Linked DNA regions of Ovis aries. The protein of the gene in region 1 purifies or fractionates together with the protein of each later gene. This does not show direct contact. Links are inferred from orthologs where the notes say so. Each region holds a gene or a part of one and is shown in the gene's direction. Other genes may lie near its edges.

Region 1 (7,938 bases):
TCTCAGGAGGCAGGTAAGGTGGTCTGGTAGTCCCATCTCTTTAAGAATTTTCCATAGTTTGTTGTGATCCACAGAGTCAGAGGCTTTGGTGTAGTTAGTAAAGCAGAAGTAGATGTTTTTCTGGAACTCTCTTGCTGTTTCAGTGATCCAGTGGATATTGGCAATTTGATCTCTGTTTCCTCTACCTTTTCTAAACCCAGCTTGAATATCTGGAAGTTCATGGTTCACGTACTGTTGAAGCCTGGCTTGGAGAATTTTGAGCATTACTTTGCTAGTGCATGAGATGAGTACAATTGTGGGGTAGTTTGAGCATTCTTTGGCGTTGCCTTTCTTTGGGATTGGAATGAAAACTGACCTTTTCCAATCCTGTGGCCACTGCTGAGTCTTGCAAATTTGCTGTCATTTTGATTGTAGCACTTTCATAGCATCATCTTTTAGGATTTGAAATAGTTCAACTGGAGTTCCATCACCTCCACTAGCTTTGTAGTGATGCTTCCAAAGGCCCACTTGACTTCACATTCCAGGATGTCTGGCTCTAGGTGAGTGATCACACCGTCGTGGCTATCTGGGTCATAAAGATCTTTTTTGTATAGTTCTTCTGTGTATTCTTGCCACCTTTTCTTAATATCTTCTGCTTCTGTTTAGGTCCATACTATTTCTGCCCTTTATTGTGCCCATCTTTGCATGAAATGTTCCCTTGCTATCTCTGATTTTCTTGAAGAGATCTCTAGTCTTTCCCATTCAATTATTTTCCTCTATTTCTTTGCACTGATCATGGAGGAAGGCTTTCTCATCTCTCCTTGCTGTTCTTGGGAACTCTGCATTCAAATGGGTATGTTTTTCCTTTTCTCCTTTGCCTTTAGTTTCTTACGTTATGTTTTGAATTCACCAATAGAATGAGCCCCTGGGAAGCCCCAGGCATCCCGTCTTCCCTTTGTTTGCCTGGACTGCCAGACTGGAGTTCCAGTTTTGTAACTCCTACGGTTGCTACACTGGCAACAAATCAGTAGAGAGAGGCAAGTATTGGTTTGAAAATGTGTGATTGCTTTATTCAGGAGGTTGACAGCCGGGGGAGAAGGCGAACTCTAAAACCAACTCTGAAGATCCTGCTCAGCCATTAAAGATTTTAAAGGGAGAATCATTTGGGGAGGGGGTCAGAGCCTTTATTATCTTCTACCGTGTACAGACTTACCTCTGATTGGTTGGTGATGAGGTAACAGAGTGGTGTTCCAGGAGTCTTGTGTTTAGTGTGAAGTTGCCACCCTCCACCTGTGTGGGGGCTTTAGTTCCTACAGAAGAACTCGAAGGCATTGTTATATATATGTTCCTTGAGGAGGAACCAGGACTGCGCCACGGCTGTACTATCGCTTCCTGACTGCTCCTTTTCCTTCTGCCCTTCCTTCCCGATAAGCAACTGTTTGAATCTGCCCTTTGGAACTCAGGGAAGACCAGGGAGGCTGAATGAAACCTCTTTCCTGCAAACAAGAGATGGGAGACACAGAAAAGATTTGTATCCTGGAGGGCCCCACAGGGTCATGCTCTGTTTCATAATCTTTATTATTTCCTTCCTTCTGCTTGCTTTGGGTTTAGTTTGCCTCCTGCCCCCCTCCTTGTTTTATTTTTAGTTTCTAAAGGTAGAAAGTTACTATTTGTAATTTTACTTTTTTTAAAAAAAAGTAGATGTTTAAAATAGTATAAAATTTCCTCTAAGCATTGCTTTCAGTGTATCCCATAACTTTTGGTATGTTGTATTTGGTTTCTTAAAGTATTTTCATTTCACCTGAAAGTATTTTGTAATATTCCTTGTGATTTATAATTTGACATGTTTGTTTAGTGTGTTGCTTAGTTTTCATATAGTTTTGAATTTCAAAGGAAATTCTACTTTCATTCCATTGTGGTCAGAAAGCATACTTTGTATGATTTCATTCCTTCTTAATGTATTGAGGCTTGTTTTATGGCTTAACCTGGTCTCTCCTAATCATGTGCACTTGGGAAGAATGTATATCCTGCTGTTGTTGGATGGAGTGTTTGTAGAGGTCTTTAGGTCTAATTGGCATACAGCGTTCATGTTTTCTTTTTCTTTACTAATCTTCTCCCTACTCCACAATTGAAAGTGGGGTAGTGAAACATACAACTCTTATTATTGAATTGTCTGTTTCTTACTTCAGTTCTGTCAGTTTATGCTTCATGTATTTTGGCGCTCTGTTGTGAGGTGCCCTAGCTTTAATTCTGCTGCATAATGTGAATTGGATGCTATGTATGTGGACACTTTTGGTAACTCAGTAAACATTATTCCCATTTTATGTACTGTGACCAATAAATGGAATTTGTTTTGATGTGGCTTTGATGCTTAAATGGTTTTGACTAGTAGTAAGTTATTTTGTCTTGGTTTCCCAGGTGGTGCAGTGGTAAAAATTACGCCTGCCAGTGTAGGGGACACAAGAGACGGGTTTGATCCCTGGGTTGGGAAGATCCCTTGGAGAAGGAAATGGCAACCCACTCCAGTATTCTTGCCTGGAAGATTCCATGGGCGGAGGAGCCTGGTGGACTACAGTCCATAGGGTCACAGAATCGGACATGGCTGAGCACCAGAGGTTATTTTGTCTAGGTTACATAAAGATGCACTTGTGTCTGAGAAGACTTAACTTTACTACGGCAGTGGTTCATTTTAAGGGTTTATGTATATGTGAGTCTGAGTGAACTGAAGCAGTTTAAACATGGCAGAGATAAAGTATTTAATAATGACTTTGCCAGTACTGATTTTTTTTTCCTAAACTTTTTATTTAAGTATAGCTGATTTATAGTGTTAAGGTTAGTTCTAGGTATACGGCATAGTGATGCAGTTTCAAAATGTGTGTGTATGTGTATATATATATATATTTGTTTTTCAGATTCTCTCCATTATGGGTTATTATAAGATAGTAAATTTATTTCTCTGTTGTATATAGTAGGTTCTTTTTATCTGTTTTATATATTGCAGTGTATATCTGTTAATCTCAAGCTTCTAATTTATCCTTCCTGCTCCTTACCCTTTTGGTAACCATAAGTTTGTTTTCTATGTCTGTGAGTCTATTTCTGTTTTATAAATAAATTAACTTGTATCATTTTTTGATTCCATATATGTGATTTCATGTGATATTTATCTTTCTCTGTCTGATTAGCCAGTATTAATTTTTAGTGAGAATAGAGGGCAGATGATAGTGTAATGTTCCTGACTATCTCTAGAATAATTTGAGTCAGTACCCATTATTATTAAACTACTAAGAGTATCTACTTTTTATACAACCAGGTCCTAAAGTATATCTGGCTTTGGAGGAAGAAGGAAATAGAAAAGTATCCTTGATGTTACATCTTTTGACATAAGTGGTATCAAATGAGCAAATTGAAACCCAGAGCTTTATTAACTTGATGAAGGTCACTGGTAGGTGCTCTTTTCATTTTCTATTCTCTTAGTCTTTCCTTCAACAAATATGCCAGGCTGTGGAGATGCAGCTATGACCCAGTCAGACATGAATGATCCTTGCTCTTATGAATTGTCTGGTGGGATTCTTTTAGTGTAGTCTTTGAGTCCTATTTCATATAGTAGTGACATAGAATTGTAGAATACTTTATAAAATATTTCTGCATTTTAATCTAATTTTATAACTCTTATTGCAGTCTTGTGACCCAGGTGGGTTAGATATAGTATTGCTGTTATTCCCATTTGAAAACTTAAGGAAACTGAGACTTAGGGATATTTAGGTGATGTAGTAAATGGCTGAGTTAATATGCAGACCCAGATCGTCTGGCTCCAGGGATCCTGCACTTCTTCCATTATGCCATTGTCTCACTGTTTCACATGAGACTACAAGCCTAGATCACCAAGAGTGATATTCCGGAAAATAATCAGCCTCACAGCATTTAGCAAAGCAGAGAGCTCTGTCAGGCAGGGCATGTGGGACGAGGAATCAGGAGACCCAAACGACTGTGTCTAGTGCGCTGGTCTGGACTTATTTCTAAATAACGCATTGAGAAGGAATAATTTGGAGGGAAACTAAAGCTTGAGACACATTGCACGGACGTGGTCTCAGCAGCACCTACGTGGGCTCACAGCATAGTAACTGCCAGGGACATTTTTTTTTTCCTAGAACAAAGACTTGAAACAGATGGTGAATTCAAGAAGTGACCTAAACAACACCAGAGTCCTAAACAACAGCTCCATACAGAGCTTCTACAGCTGCAAATCAGAGTCTAATCTTTATATGAGGAAGGGATTGTTTGTTTTTCATTGATTACCTCAGCTGCTATCACACAGGTTCAGAGATAGCAGTCTCTTCAGTAAAAACAATTGAGTACTTCCTCTGTGTAAAAACACTGTTAGGTATTGTGGGAGTGATACCAACATAGGTATGATGCCATCCTTGCCCACAAGGAGCTTGTAACCTAGTAAGGAGATTTTGCATTCATTCAAACAATATGTGTTTATCCAGAGTCCATTATGTGTCAGGCCCTGTACCACATGTTAAGGAAACAAGAGTAGATAAGATAGAAACCATCCCTTTGCCTTTAGCTTTTACTTTCCATTGCCTGAAGAGTATTCCTTACCTTCTTCCCCTGAATCTAAGCACTCAGAAATCTTTTTAGAGAGCAGAACATGAAATTCTCTTAGCAGGACAGTAGTCAGCACTGCTATTCTTGTAACTTGGCCACAAATAGAACCCCACAGTTGTGGGTCAGAGCTTAGGCATCATGCTATGAAATATTTGCATCTCATCTAGTGTCACATTAAGAAGAGTGCAAAACATCCTGATAGAAGAAACGGATAAGAGATCTGAACAGATCACAGAATAGAAAGTAAAAAAGATAAAATGTATGTCAGTCTTATCGATAATCAGAGAAATGGTGATTAAATAGTAAAATGATATTTTCACCTCTCTCATTGGCAAGAAAGTTGGTTAGAGCAAATTTAAGTAATAATTACAAGACAACTTTATTGAATACTTTCTCTGTGGCAGGCACAACAGTCTTTACAATAATCCTAGTGAGGTGGGTACTATTATTATTATTGTTTTATTGTTAAGGTACTTGAGGCACAAGGATAGAGAAACTTGTCCAAGGTCAGACATTCAGTACTTACTAAGCCCAAATTTGAATTCAGGCAACCTATATCTAGAGCCTGTACTCTTTTTTTTTTAAAATTTATTTTAATTGGAGGATAATTGTTTTACAATGTTGTATTGGCTTCTGCTGTACAACAGTGTGAATCAGCCATAAATATACATTTGAGCCCTCCCTCTTTCTAGAGCCTGAATTCTTAATCACCAAAGTGGTGCCTTTGTCTGAATTGGTTACCATTATGCTGTATGCTCAGCCTAAAAAAGGTCTTAACTATTTGTTGAATGAATTCTTAAAATGAAAATGTATTAGGCATATCATTTTTAGGGTAGTTTATGAATAGCGAAGAAGACACATACTAATAACTCAATAATCCTATTTCTTAATATGTATCTTAAAAAAAACATGTGTGTAAGGAGGCACTTACATGGCAGCATTCTTGGTACTTGTTGAAAAATAGAAAATGTAAATGCTCATCAGTACTGTAAATAACTACTAACATAACTAATGTATCAGTTCAGTTCAGTCGCTCAGTCGTGTCCGACTCCTTGCGACCCCGTGAATCGCAGCACGCCAGGCCTCCCTGTCCATCACCAACTCCCGGAGTTCACTAAGACTCACGTCCATCGAGTCGGTGATGCCATCCAGCCATCTCATCCTCTGTCGTCCCCTTCTCCTCCTGCCCCAAATCCCTCCCAGCATCAGAGTCTTTTCCAATGAGTCAACTCTTCGCATGAGGTGGCCAAAGTACTGGAGCCTCAGCTTTAGCATCATTCCTTGCAAAGAAATCCCAGGGCTGATCTCCTTCAGAATGGACTGGTTGGATCTCCTTGCAGTCCATGGGGCTCTCAAGAGTCTTCTCCAACACCACAGTTCAAAAGCATCAATTCTTCGGCACTCAGCCTTGTTCACTAATGTATAGCTCTATATAATTATTAAACATTTAAATAAGCTATGATATAGGAATATTTAAAAATTCTATATGCATAGATAAATAAATGAAGTATGATGTGGAAAGTTATATAGGATTTATTTTGGAATGAGAAAAGCAAGTTACAGAACTTTTACTGCCAAAATAGATTCTAGACAATGAAAGAGTGAAACAAAAATAGCCATGAAAATAGCAGGGAAAACATATGTTAACATTTTTATAATATTGGAATGAGAAAGGCTTTTCTAAGCATGATGTGAAATGTAAAAACCATAAAGGAAACTGATGAATTTGATTACAAAAAAATGGATGACTTCCAAGTAGAAAAAAAAGAATAAGCATTAAACTGGAATAGAGATCCTAATAAAGTGGATGAACAAGAGCCTATTATACAGAGTGAAGTTAGTTATAAAAAAACCAAATATCATATATTAATGCATCTAGAAATATGGAACTGATGAACCTGTCTGCAGGGCAATATTGGAGATGCAGACAGAGAACAGACTTGTAGACACAGTGAGGGAAGAAGAGGGGGGATGAACTGACACAATAGCATTGAAATATATACATTACCATGTGTAAAACTAGAAAGCCTGTAGAAATTTGCTGTGTGACATAGGAAGCTCAAATCTGGTGCTCTGTGACAACCTCTAGGGGTGAGATGGGGTAGGAGGTGTAATGGAGGTTCAAGAAGGAGAGGACATATGTATACTTATGGCTGATTTGTATTGCTATATAGCAGAAACCAATGCAATATTGTAAAGCAGTTATCCTCCAATTAAAGATAAATTTAAATAAAAACAACTCCAAACATTGTGTGTGTGTCTGTGTGTATATATTGGAGAAGGCAATGGCAACCCACTCCAGTACTCTTGCCTGGAAAATCCCAAGGATGGAGGAGCCTGGTGGCTTAATATATATATGTGTGTGTGTGTGTGTGTGTGTGTGTCTGTGTGTGTGTGTGTGTCTGTGTGTCTGTGTGTGTCTGTGTGTGTGTGTGTGTAGGCTTCCCTGGTGGCTCAGATGGTAAGGAATCTACCAGTAATGTGGGAGACCCAGGTTAGGTCCTTGGGTCAGGAAGATCTGGAGGAGGAAATGCCTACCCACTCCTATATTCTTGCCTGGAGAATCCCGTGGATAGAGGAGCCCGCCAGGCCTCTGGGGTTGCGAAAAGTCGGACATGACTGAGTGACTAACCCAACCTATATATATATATGCCTATATGTAGACAAAAAAGCCAATAAGCATATGATAGATAAATAGATGTTCAGCTTTTACTCATAATTAAAAATACAAGTTAGAAGGATGTCCCTGGTAGTCCAGTTGTTGAGAGTCTGCTTTCTCTGGTCTGGGAGGATTCCACATGCCACAGGGCAACTGAGCCTGTAAGCTGCAGCTGCTGAAACCCACATCCCTAGAGCCTGTGCTCTGCAACAAGAAAAGCCATCACAGCAAGAACCCTATACTCGCACACTAGAGAAAGCCCACAGGTAGCAAAAAAGACCCAGTGCAGCCAGAAATAAAAAATTAATAAAAAATACTAAGTGAGATATCAGGTTCCATTGCTTCTACTGTGAAATTGGTAAAGATGGGTAATAATAATGATGAACTTATAGAAAGAATTTTACACAGAAATAGAAATAAGCACAGCATGTTTGGAAATTTTGGCAACATTTATTAAAATTCAGTCTGTGTAATACTTTTGTCTAAAATTCCACTTGTAGGGATTTATTGCATATTGAGGTGTAAATGTATGTGTACAAAGATATTCATTATATTGTATATAGTTATAAAAATATGAAGACAATCTAGATGTATGTTGAAAGGGATGAGAGTTAAATTGTAATACATGTAATGGAGTGCTGTTCAGCTGTTTTAAGACTGTGGCAAACCCAGGTGTATACACATGCCCC
Region 2 (8,147 bases), on another chromosome or scaffold:
ACCCCATGATCTTGGGGATCCTCTCCCAACCCTGAACTAGAAGCAGACAGAATCCTCTGCTCCACCCTTCCAGGAACACCACACCCTTTGGGCTCTCTGAGCACTGGAATACTAAATCTCCTGCTTCTTTCTGATCCATGTGGCCCCAGCAGGAAAAGAACTCTTGAATAGGGGCAGCTCTCATTACAGGAGGGGGTCACAGAAGGGCCGAATCCTCTGGGGTTTGGTTGTCAGGCTGAGGCATGTGGGATCTGACCTCTGGGTCAAGGGAATTACTCAAGGCTTTGGAGAAAAAACAGGGCCTGGGAAGACATGACAGGCATCTAAGGGCCTGCCTTTTTGCCCGGCGCATCTCCACCAGGAAACCGGGAGATACTCAGGCTTGAGGAATCTAGAGGTGTCCCCTGAGGTGAAGATTCTGCCACTTCTTGGCGACCAAGTGTTCTTGGCGTGCTGGTGACCTCCTATGCCTTGACCTTAGTTTCTTTCTGGGCAAAACGGAAACCTGAAACCTTTGGGGTGATAAATGCCAAGAAGAAACGAGGTGGGGCGAGGCTTCTTGAAAGTGAGAGAGCTCCAGTGCTGCCGCCCCGTAGCTCTAAGGGCGGATGGGCGGTAGTGTCCCAGTGCCTGATCCAAGCCCTTCTCCACATCGTGGAAAACCCCTCTCCTCTCAGGCTGCGAGGACGCAAGACACTCTGACTCCCGAGAGGCAGAGTTCGGGGGTGCCTGCTGATCTCCCTCGGGTCCGCTGCGCTGGGCGGCCACTCACCGGCCCCCGGCCCCACGCCGCCCGGCTCCGGGGACAAGCAGCCCTTCTGAGAGCCCAGGAAGCCGAAGTTCGACTGCTGGAAACGGTCAAAGTCCCCCAAAGGCAGCGCCCGATACCCAGACCTGCCAAGCATGGTTCCCAACAGAGGGCACGCCCCGCGCCCCAGGGCAGTGCGGGGCTTGACCAGCCAGCCGCTACACGGCCCCGCCCCCGCCGACCGCTGCTTCCGGTTTCGCCTGTGCTGCCGGGGGAGGGGGAGGGGCGGCCCGAGTGCAGGAGGAGGAGGCCGACCGCGCCCGGCTCGCACCGTTGCATAGCGCCCCCTGCGCTGGGAGGACCGAACTGCGATCGCGGGGCTGGGAGGAAGGGTGGTCAAGTGGTCCTGGAGGCCCGCAGCGGTCCGCTCCTCCTAAACCTTTTCCCACTAGGTCTTAGAAAAGGAGCAGGAAGAGAAGCTGAGCTTTGCAAGGGAGTTTTCAGGAGCTGAATCTTCTCCAGAAGCAAAGAAATGCTACCAGCCTTCTCAGCACAAACTAGCAAACTCTGGACGGAGTTGGGGAAGATTGCCTTTAGGGTTTCTCCAAGGCATGATCAGCAAATTATTCCTGTTCGTATCCCTGAAGCTCCATTACTTTGGTCACCTGATGAGAAGAGCCGACTCATTAGAAAAGATCCTGTTGCTGGGAAAGATTGAAGGTAGTAGGAGAAGGGGACGACAGAGGATGAGATGGTTGGATGGCATCACCAACTCAATGGACATGAGTTGGAGCAAGCTCCAGGAGACTCTGGGAGATGGTGAAGGACAGGGAAGCCTAGCGTGCTGCAGTCCATGGGGCTGCAAAGAGTTGGACATGACTGAGCGACTGAACAACAACAAAGCCCAGCAAGCAAGGCCTGGCACAGAGAGGATGTCAGTGCTTATCTGTTGCATGAAGGGGTAACCAGGTCATTATGGGTCAACCTGGGGCAGGAGGGCCTGAGCTTCAGCACAAAAAGAAAGAAATTCTGTGTGCAGATCTCAGGGAACATGGCAGAGTAAAGAAGGGGATTGCATAGTGCTATCCCAGGACAGCCCTCCCGAGCATCACAGACCCTCAGTCTTACAGATGCTGAAATAGCACACCCCACAATCCAGGTACCCAAAGGTAACTTGCTTCTCCCTGGCTGGAGAAAACCAAATGCAAAAGGTGAATTTACTCTGTATACCAACAAATTTTAATTTCCAACAAGGCAGGCTGTGTTCCAAAGTGGGCAAAGAAATTAAAGCTTTTCTTGTTCCACACATGCCGGTCCTGCCTCCTAAGGCCCCTCAGCCATAGTCCACTTCCAGATCCCTTCTGCAAATGGCTCCTTACCATCTTTGGCTTTTCCTAGCTTCATAGCCTGGTTCTAAAGCCCTGGGGACACTAATCAAGCAGCAGGGTGCATGCAGTAGGCTCTTGAGGTTTTTGCACTGTCCCTATGAAGTTAGTTCTCCCCTATCCTCCCACCCTGACCCTGAACTATAAGTTCACCCCACCCCCAACTATTAAAGTTTTACAAGAGCAAAGTCCTGTCACTGCCCTTCTAATCTGTCCCAAGCTGGAACTGAACACAAAATGGGTCCATGGGAGTCATCACAATGAATGGAATGCACTGAGGTTTGAAGACAGGGGCACTGGCCCAGTGATGCCACCTGGAGCTGTGCCTTCTCCCCTCACCAGCTGAGAGCTGGGGCTTCTCCTTTGACCCATTGCTAAGTTGCTGTCTCCTCATTTTTCTCATACCTGCCCACCAGCTCTCCCCATTCCCTACTGCCTCAGATCCACCAGCCCTTTCTGCTGTCACATCAGGCATCATCCTGATGCCGTCATCTCCACTCAGCGTCCTCCCAGTCTGACTCGGGTCCCTCCTCTCATCCCACAGCCACTGTCCCAGACCACCTGGCCCTAGGTTGTCAGAGAGACTGTCCCAATATACACAATGGACATGGTTGCTTGTTTTCAAACCCTTCACCAACTCTCTGTGGTCCATAGCCCTGGTCCATCTCCTTAGCCTCATCTTGCCCAGCCCATCTTGGTCTGACATCATGCATGGGTCCCCTCTTGAATCTGAAAATAACCAAAATGAGTTGCTTGTTTCAAAACTAGTTTCGAAACAGCTTCTGTTTCAAACCTCCATGGCTTTGCATATGCTGTTCTCTCGGTCTTAAGTGTTGCCCACCCATCCCCAGCCTCTGAATCCCTGGCAAATTCCCACCATCACTTCAAATCCCAGCTGAGTGATCTCCTGTCCAGCCAGTCTCAACACTGTGAAAATCTCCCTTTGGGGGACTGCTCCTGCATTAGATCTGGGGTGGTTCAGACGCTAAAGAATCTGCTTGCAGTGCAGGAGACCTGGGTTCCATCCCTGGGTAGGGAAGATCCCCTTTAGAAGGGAATGGCTACCCACTCCAGTATTCTTGCCTGGAGAATCCCATGGACAGAGGAGCCTAGAAGACGACAGTCCATGGGGTCCCAAAGAGTCGGACACGACTAGAAGACTAACACTTTCCCTTTTTTTCCCAAAGTAGGAGCCACGCGTGGCCCGGCTGTGTGGCTCTTGCTCCCAGCTGAGGGCTGGCACGAAGCTGTGCCAATGTGAGCTGAATGAAAGATTCCAAGCCGAGGGCAGGGACGGCCTCCATTCTGCACAAACATCAGTTCTGCCGCTGTCCTGCGTGTGACTGCTCTTCTCTCCCTCCTCGCCGCTCTGGGCGTGTCTTCAGGACCGTGGGCCAGCCTCTCCGACCCTAGAACCGCCGGTAGCTAGTGTTTCACTTCCTCTGGGAGGTGGGCCCTGAGCTGGCACCTCCCCTTTAGGGCTGCTCGGGAGCTCAGTGTTCTGGCGCCTTCCTCGGGTTCAGTTTCTCCGCTCTCGAAGAGCGAAACTGAGAATCGAAACTGCGCTGGATTCCATGCAGCAGGATCCGGAACCTGCCGGATCTCCGGGGCCCCAGCAGGACCCCGCACTGCCCCACTCCCCCAGCATGCCTCCCCCGGAGGCACTCTCCGAAGGCCACCAGTCCAGCCATAGCGACAGCCCCACAGAGGTACTACTGCGTTTGGGAGATGGGGTTGGGGCTTTGTTAATTACGTATGGTCGGTGGAATAGAGGGACTGGGGAACTTGACCAAGTACCTTGAAAAATGACGTAAAGAAGGGAGACCAGGTGCGAGGGTCCTGATCTTCTCGGCTGGGTTAGGGGTCGTGGAAAGTAGAAAAGGGGGCCAGCATGAGTTTGAGGGGAGAGGTCTCTCTGGGTTGCGATTCTCCACGAGCAGCGGGGTGATGCTAAGAGTGAGTGGCACCCCGGACCAGACTCTTCCGCCCAAGTCTCTTCCGCCCAAGCTGGCGACATGCCTCTTATCCCCTACCTCAGATGAAGGACCACCTGTTAAGGAAAATGGAAGTAATAGTCTTATCGCACCCGCCTGGCAGACCCGGACAAGCTCCAGGTGTGGACAAGCCAGAATCTTTGTCCTCAGATCAGAAAGTGGGAAAGAGGTGTCTTGGCTAAGGCCCAGGATTCCTGTGGTGTCTCCTCTAGGAAGCTACTTGGATCCTTTTCCTGGAGCACCGTGCTCCCTCAACCCCCATCCTGAGGAGTTTTTTAAGGGTTTACTGGTCTTTTCCTGCACAAACTCCCCACCCCCAAAGGAAGTGCTTAGATCACTTGCTCTGTTTTCTTCCAGCCCCTTTTTACTCTCCTTCATGAAAGTACAAATAATATTGCATTAACTTTTATTTGTTGCATTATAACACCTAGGAATAATATTTACCATACTAGTTAACATGTTCGAGTATTTCTCACGTGCCAGGTACTGTATTATGTTACCTATGTTTTATCTGTTTCTAGGTGTACAATTCAGTGGCATTAAATGCATTCCACAATGTAACCATCACCACAGTCAATTTTCAGAATTTTTTCATTGAAACAAAAATCTGTACCCTTTAAGCTGCTCATTCTCCTCTTCCCCCTGGCTGCTGCTGCTAAGTCGCTTCAGTCATGTCCGACTCTGTGACCCCATAGATGGCAGCCCACCAGGCTCCCCTGTCCCTGGGATTCTCCAGGCAAGAACACTGGAGTGGGTTGCCATTTCCTTCTCCAATGCATGAAAGAGAAAAGTGAAAGTGAAGTCGCTCGGTCGTGTCCTACTCTTAGTGGCCCCATAGACTGCAGCCTACCAGGCTCCTCCGTCCATGGAATTTTCCAGGCAAGAGTACTGGAGTGGGGTGCCATTGCCTTCTCCCTCTTCCCCCTAGCTGCTGGTAACCTCTAATCTACTTTCTGTCTCTGCATTTGCCTAGTCTAGATATTTTATATAAGTGGAATGCTACAGTATTTGTCTCTGTGTTTGGCTGGTTTTACTTAACATGATGTCTTCAAGGTATTTTCATGTTGTAGCATGTATCAGAATGTCCTTTTTAAGGCCAAATAACATTCCATTGTATGTATATACTACATTTTGTTTATCCATTCATTTGTTGATGGACACTTCAGTTGTTTCCACTCCTTGGCTACTGTGACTAATGCTGTGTACAGAATAATGGATGTACAAGCATCTGGATCCTGTTTTCTGTTCTTTTGGGTATATAGCTGGGTGTAGAATTGCTGGGTCCTATGGTAGTTCTATGTTTAAGTTTTTGAGGAACCATCAAAGTGCAGTAAGCATTTTTTGTGAGGTTATATGACACACATTTAATGAATCTCCTTTTTTAAAGTCCTGTGAAGGCAGGGGTTTGTCCTGGAATCAGGGGTCCCCAAGTTCCAGGCCACGGACTGTCACTTGCCCTGGCCTATTAGGAACCGGGCTTACAGTGGCAAGCAGCCAGCAAGAGAGCAAAACGTCATCTGTATTTACAGCCGCTCTCATCACTTGCACTACCGAATTTTCACAGTGGAAACAGAAATAAAGTGCACAATAAATATAATGCATTTAAATCATCCCTACATCACCCCACCCATAGAAAAACTGTCTTTCAGGAAACGGTAACCTAGTCCCCAAAGGGTTGGGGACTGCTGCTATACATCCGTGTATCTTGGGGCCTGGTACTGTGTCTTATGAGAAACGGATGCTCAGTAAATCATGGAGTGAGCGTGAGAAGGCCTAAGTCAATGGAGGACTGGGATACTGATAAGGCTGGGTTTTTGTGTCATCCGTTGACAGCTTGGTATGAAACAGGAAGTGCCACTCTCAGCGTGCAGCCACAGGGTGGGTGTCCGGTTGGGTGGGGCTTCCTGGGACTTCACGTCTCACCTCCCTCCCTGATTCCCCAGCAAGCCACGGAGGAAGAGTTCCAGTTCTTGCGCTGCCAGGGCTGCCGGGCAGAAGCTAAGTGCCCCAAGCTGCTGCCTTGTCTGCATACGCTGTGCTCAGGATGCCTGGAGGAGTCCGGCATACAGTGCCCCGTCTGCCAGGCTCCCTGGCCCTCAGGTGCCGGCGCGCAGGCCCTGGACAACGTCTTCTTCGAGAGCCTGCAGCGGCGGCTGTCGGTGTACCAGCAGATCGCACGCGAGCAGGCGTTTTGCACCCGCTGCAAAGAGCTGGCCCACTACTGGTGCTTCGAGTGTGAGCAGCTCATCTGCGCCAAGTGCTTCGAGGCGCACCAGTGGTTCCTCAAGCACGAGGCCCGGCCGCTGGCGGAGCTCCGCAGCCAGTCGGTGCGGGAGTTTCTGGACGGCACCCGCAAGTCCAACAACATCTTCTGCTCCAACCCCAACCACCGCAGCCCTATGCTGACCAGGTGAGCAGGCTGGCCGAGGGTGGGATGGTGCATCCAAGGGCGAGGTAGAGGGTGCGGGGAGGAGAGACCCAGAGCCTCATAGCTGGGGCGTGGGTCAAGGAGCTTCTGAGGCCTTGCAACTCACAGTGTGGTCCACACACCAGCAGCATCAGTAGCGACGACCACAGTTTACACTCTTCCCGTGCGAATGGATGGATAGTAATAGTTCCCAATTTCCCCTCACAAGAAAATAATGCTGCAGAATCATCTTTTCACACATATCCAGTCATTTCTTCAGGATAAATTTTTAAAAATACGTTACTCGGTGAAGGGATATGAAAGTTTTACATTTCGATACATGTTACCAAACTGCCCTTTAAAAACTCTTAAAGAGTGAAATTTTCCATAAGCACTGCCACTCAGTCTCCCTATAGCTAGGACTGTAGAATGAGATGTGGGTAGTTAGTTCCTGGCTCAAAAGCACTCCCGAGCGTCCTGGGAGGATCTGTATGAAGAAAGTCAAGTTCCATTTTAATTATTTTCACCGCGCAGCACAGGAATTTAAGTTCAGGTTTTTTTAGACAGATAAAATGCATTAATACGGTTCAGAAAATTGCTAACAAGATTTATAGAGAGAACAAAATCTCCATTCCATTTTGTCCCACATCTGCCTAATACCCATCCCTTCTCCCTTCCCAATTCAAGGTTAACCATTGTTACCAGCTTTAAAGGGCGTCCCTTGTGGCTCAGCTGGTAAAGAATCCACCTGCAATGTGGGAAACCTGGGTCCCTGGATTGGGAAGATCCCCTGGAGAAGGGAAAGGCTACCCACTCCAATATTCTGGCCTAGAGAATTCCATGGACTGCATAGTCCATGCGGTCACAAAGAATCAGTCATGACTGAGCGACTTTCACTTTCACCAGCTTTAAAACTTTCCAGAGTTTATGAATATACACGCAGATATAAGTATATAGTCTTATAGGATGTATTGTTCCCTTTTTTAGCAAAATGATAGCATACCTGTGTGAACTTTTAATGCTCTCTTCTCACGCAACTACAATAGATAGCTGTATACGATTCTTGGGGAATCAGCTTACAAAGTGAAGGTATTCCTTGCCCATAAGGGGCACACTCAGACAGAGCTCCATTCTGGCTAAACTATAACTTGCTTGCTTCCTGCTAGGAGGTTTACCACCTGTACTACCAGATTCCACAAGGGCTGATATTATTGTTTGAGTTTGGATTTCTTTATTTATTATTGAGGCTGTCCAGTGGCTTTTCTTGTGTTTATTGGTCATTGAGCTTCTTCATTTGTGAATTGCTTGCTGAGGTCCTTTGCTTGTTTATTTGTTTACTCTTATAAGAGCTTGTTATAGTGCCGACATTTTTCCTGTGTTGACCTTTGTCATTCATTTAATATGAGGTGTTGTGTTCAAGTTTTTACTTCTATATAGTCTAATCCATTAATCTCTTCCTTTATGGTATCTGGCTTTGGTCATCCTAGGAAAGATTTTGCCTATGCCAATACTGAAAATATTTACTTATACTCTATTTTAATAGTTTATTTTTATTGTTAAATCTTTAATTCCCATGGAACTTATCTTTGTGTGATGTGAGATAGGAACACTCG

The links. Proteins that work in one complex are often made in the same cells at the same time.
Region 2: the proteins of ZFYVE9 (region 1) and PML purify together in Homo sapiens (affinity purification with western blotting; 3 studies listed by BioGRID and IntAct, with this or other methods). This does not show direct contact. The link is inferred for Ovis aries from reciprocal best matches to the Homo sapiens genes ZFYVE9 and PML.

Annotation. Positions count from the first base shown.
Region 1 is NC_056054.1:26,593,255-26,601,192, forward strand, and holds the start of ZFYVE9 (zinc finger FYVE domain-containing protein 9), read left to right. Parts: upstream 1-3,310; 5' UTR 3,311-3,421; intron 3,422-7,938. UniProt on the Homo sapiens protein: Early endosomal protein that functions to recruit SMAD2/SMAD3 to intracellular membranes and to the TGF-beta receptor.
Region 2 is NC_056071.1:32,278,851-32,286,997, reverse strand, and holds the start of PML (protein PML), read left to right. Parts: upstream 1-3,628; 5' UTR 3,629-3,707; coding exon 3,708-3,842; intron 3,843-6,070; coding exon 6,071-6,537; intron 6,538-8,147. Other genes in the region: STOML1 (stomatin-like protein 1), read right to left, coding at 773-905.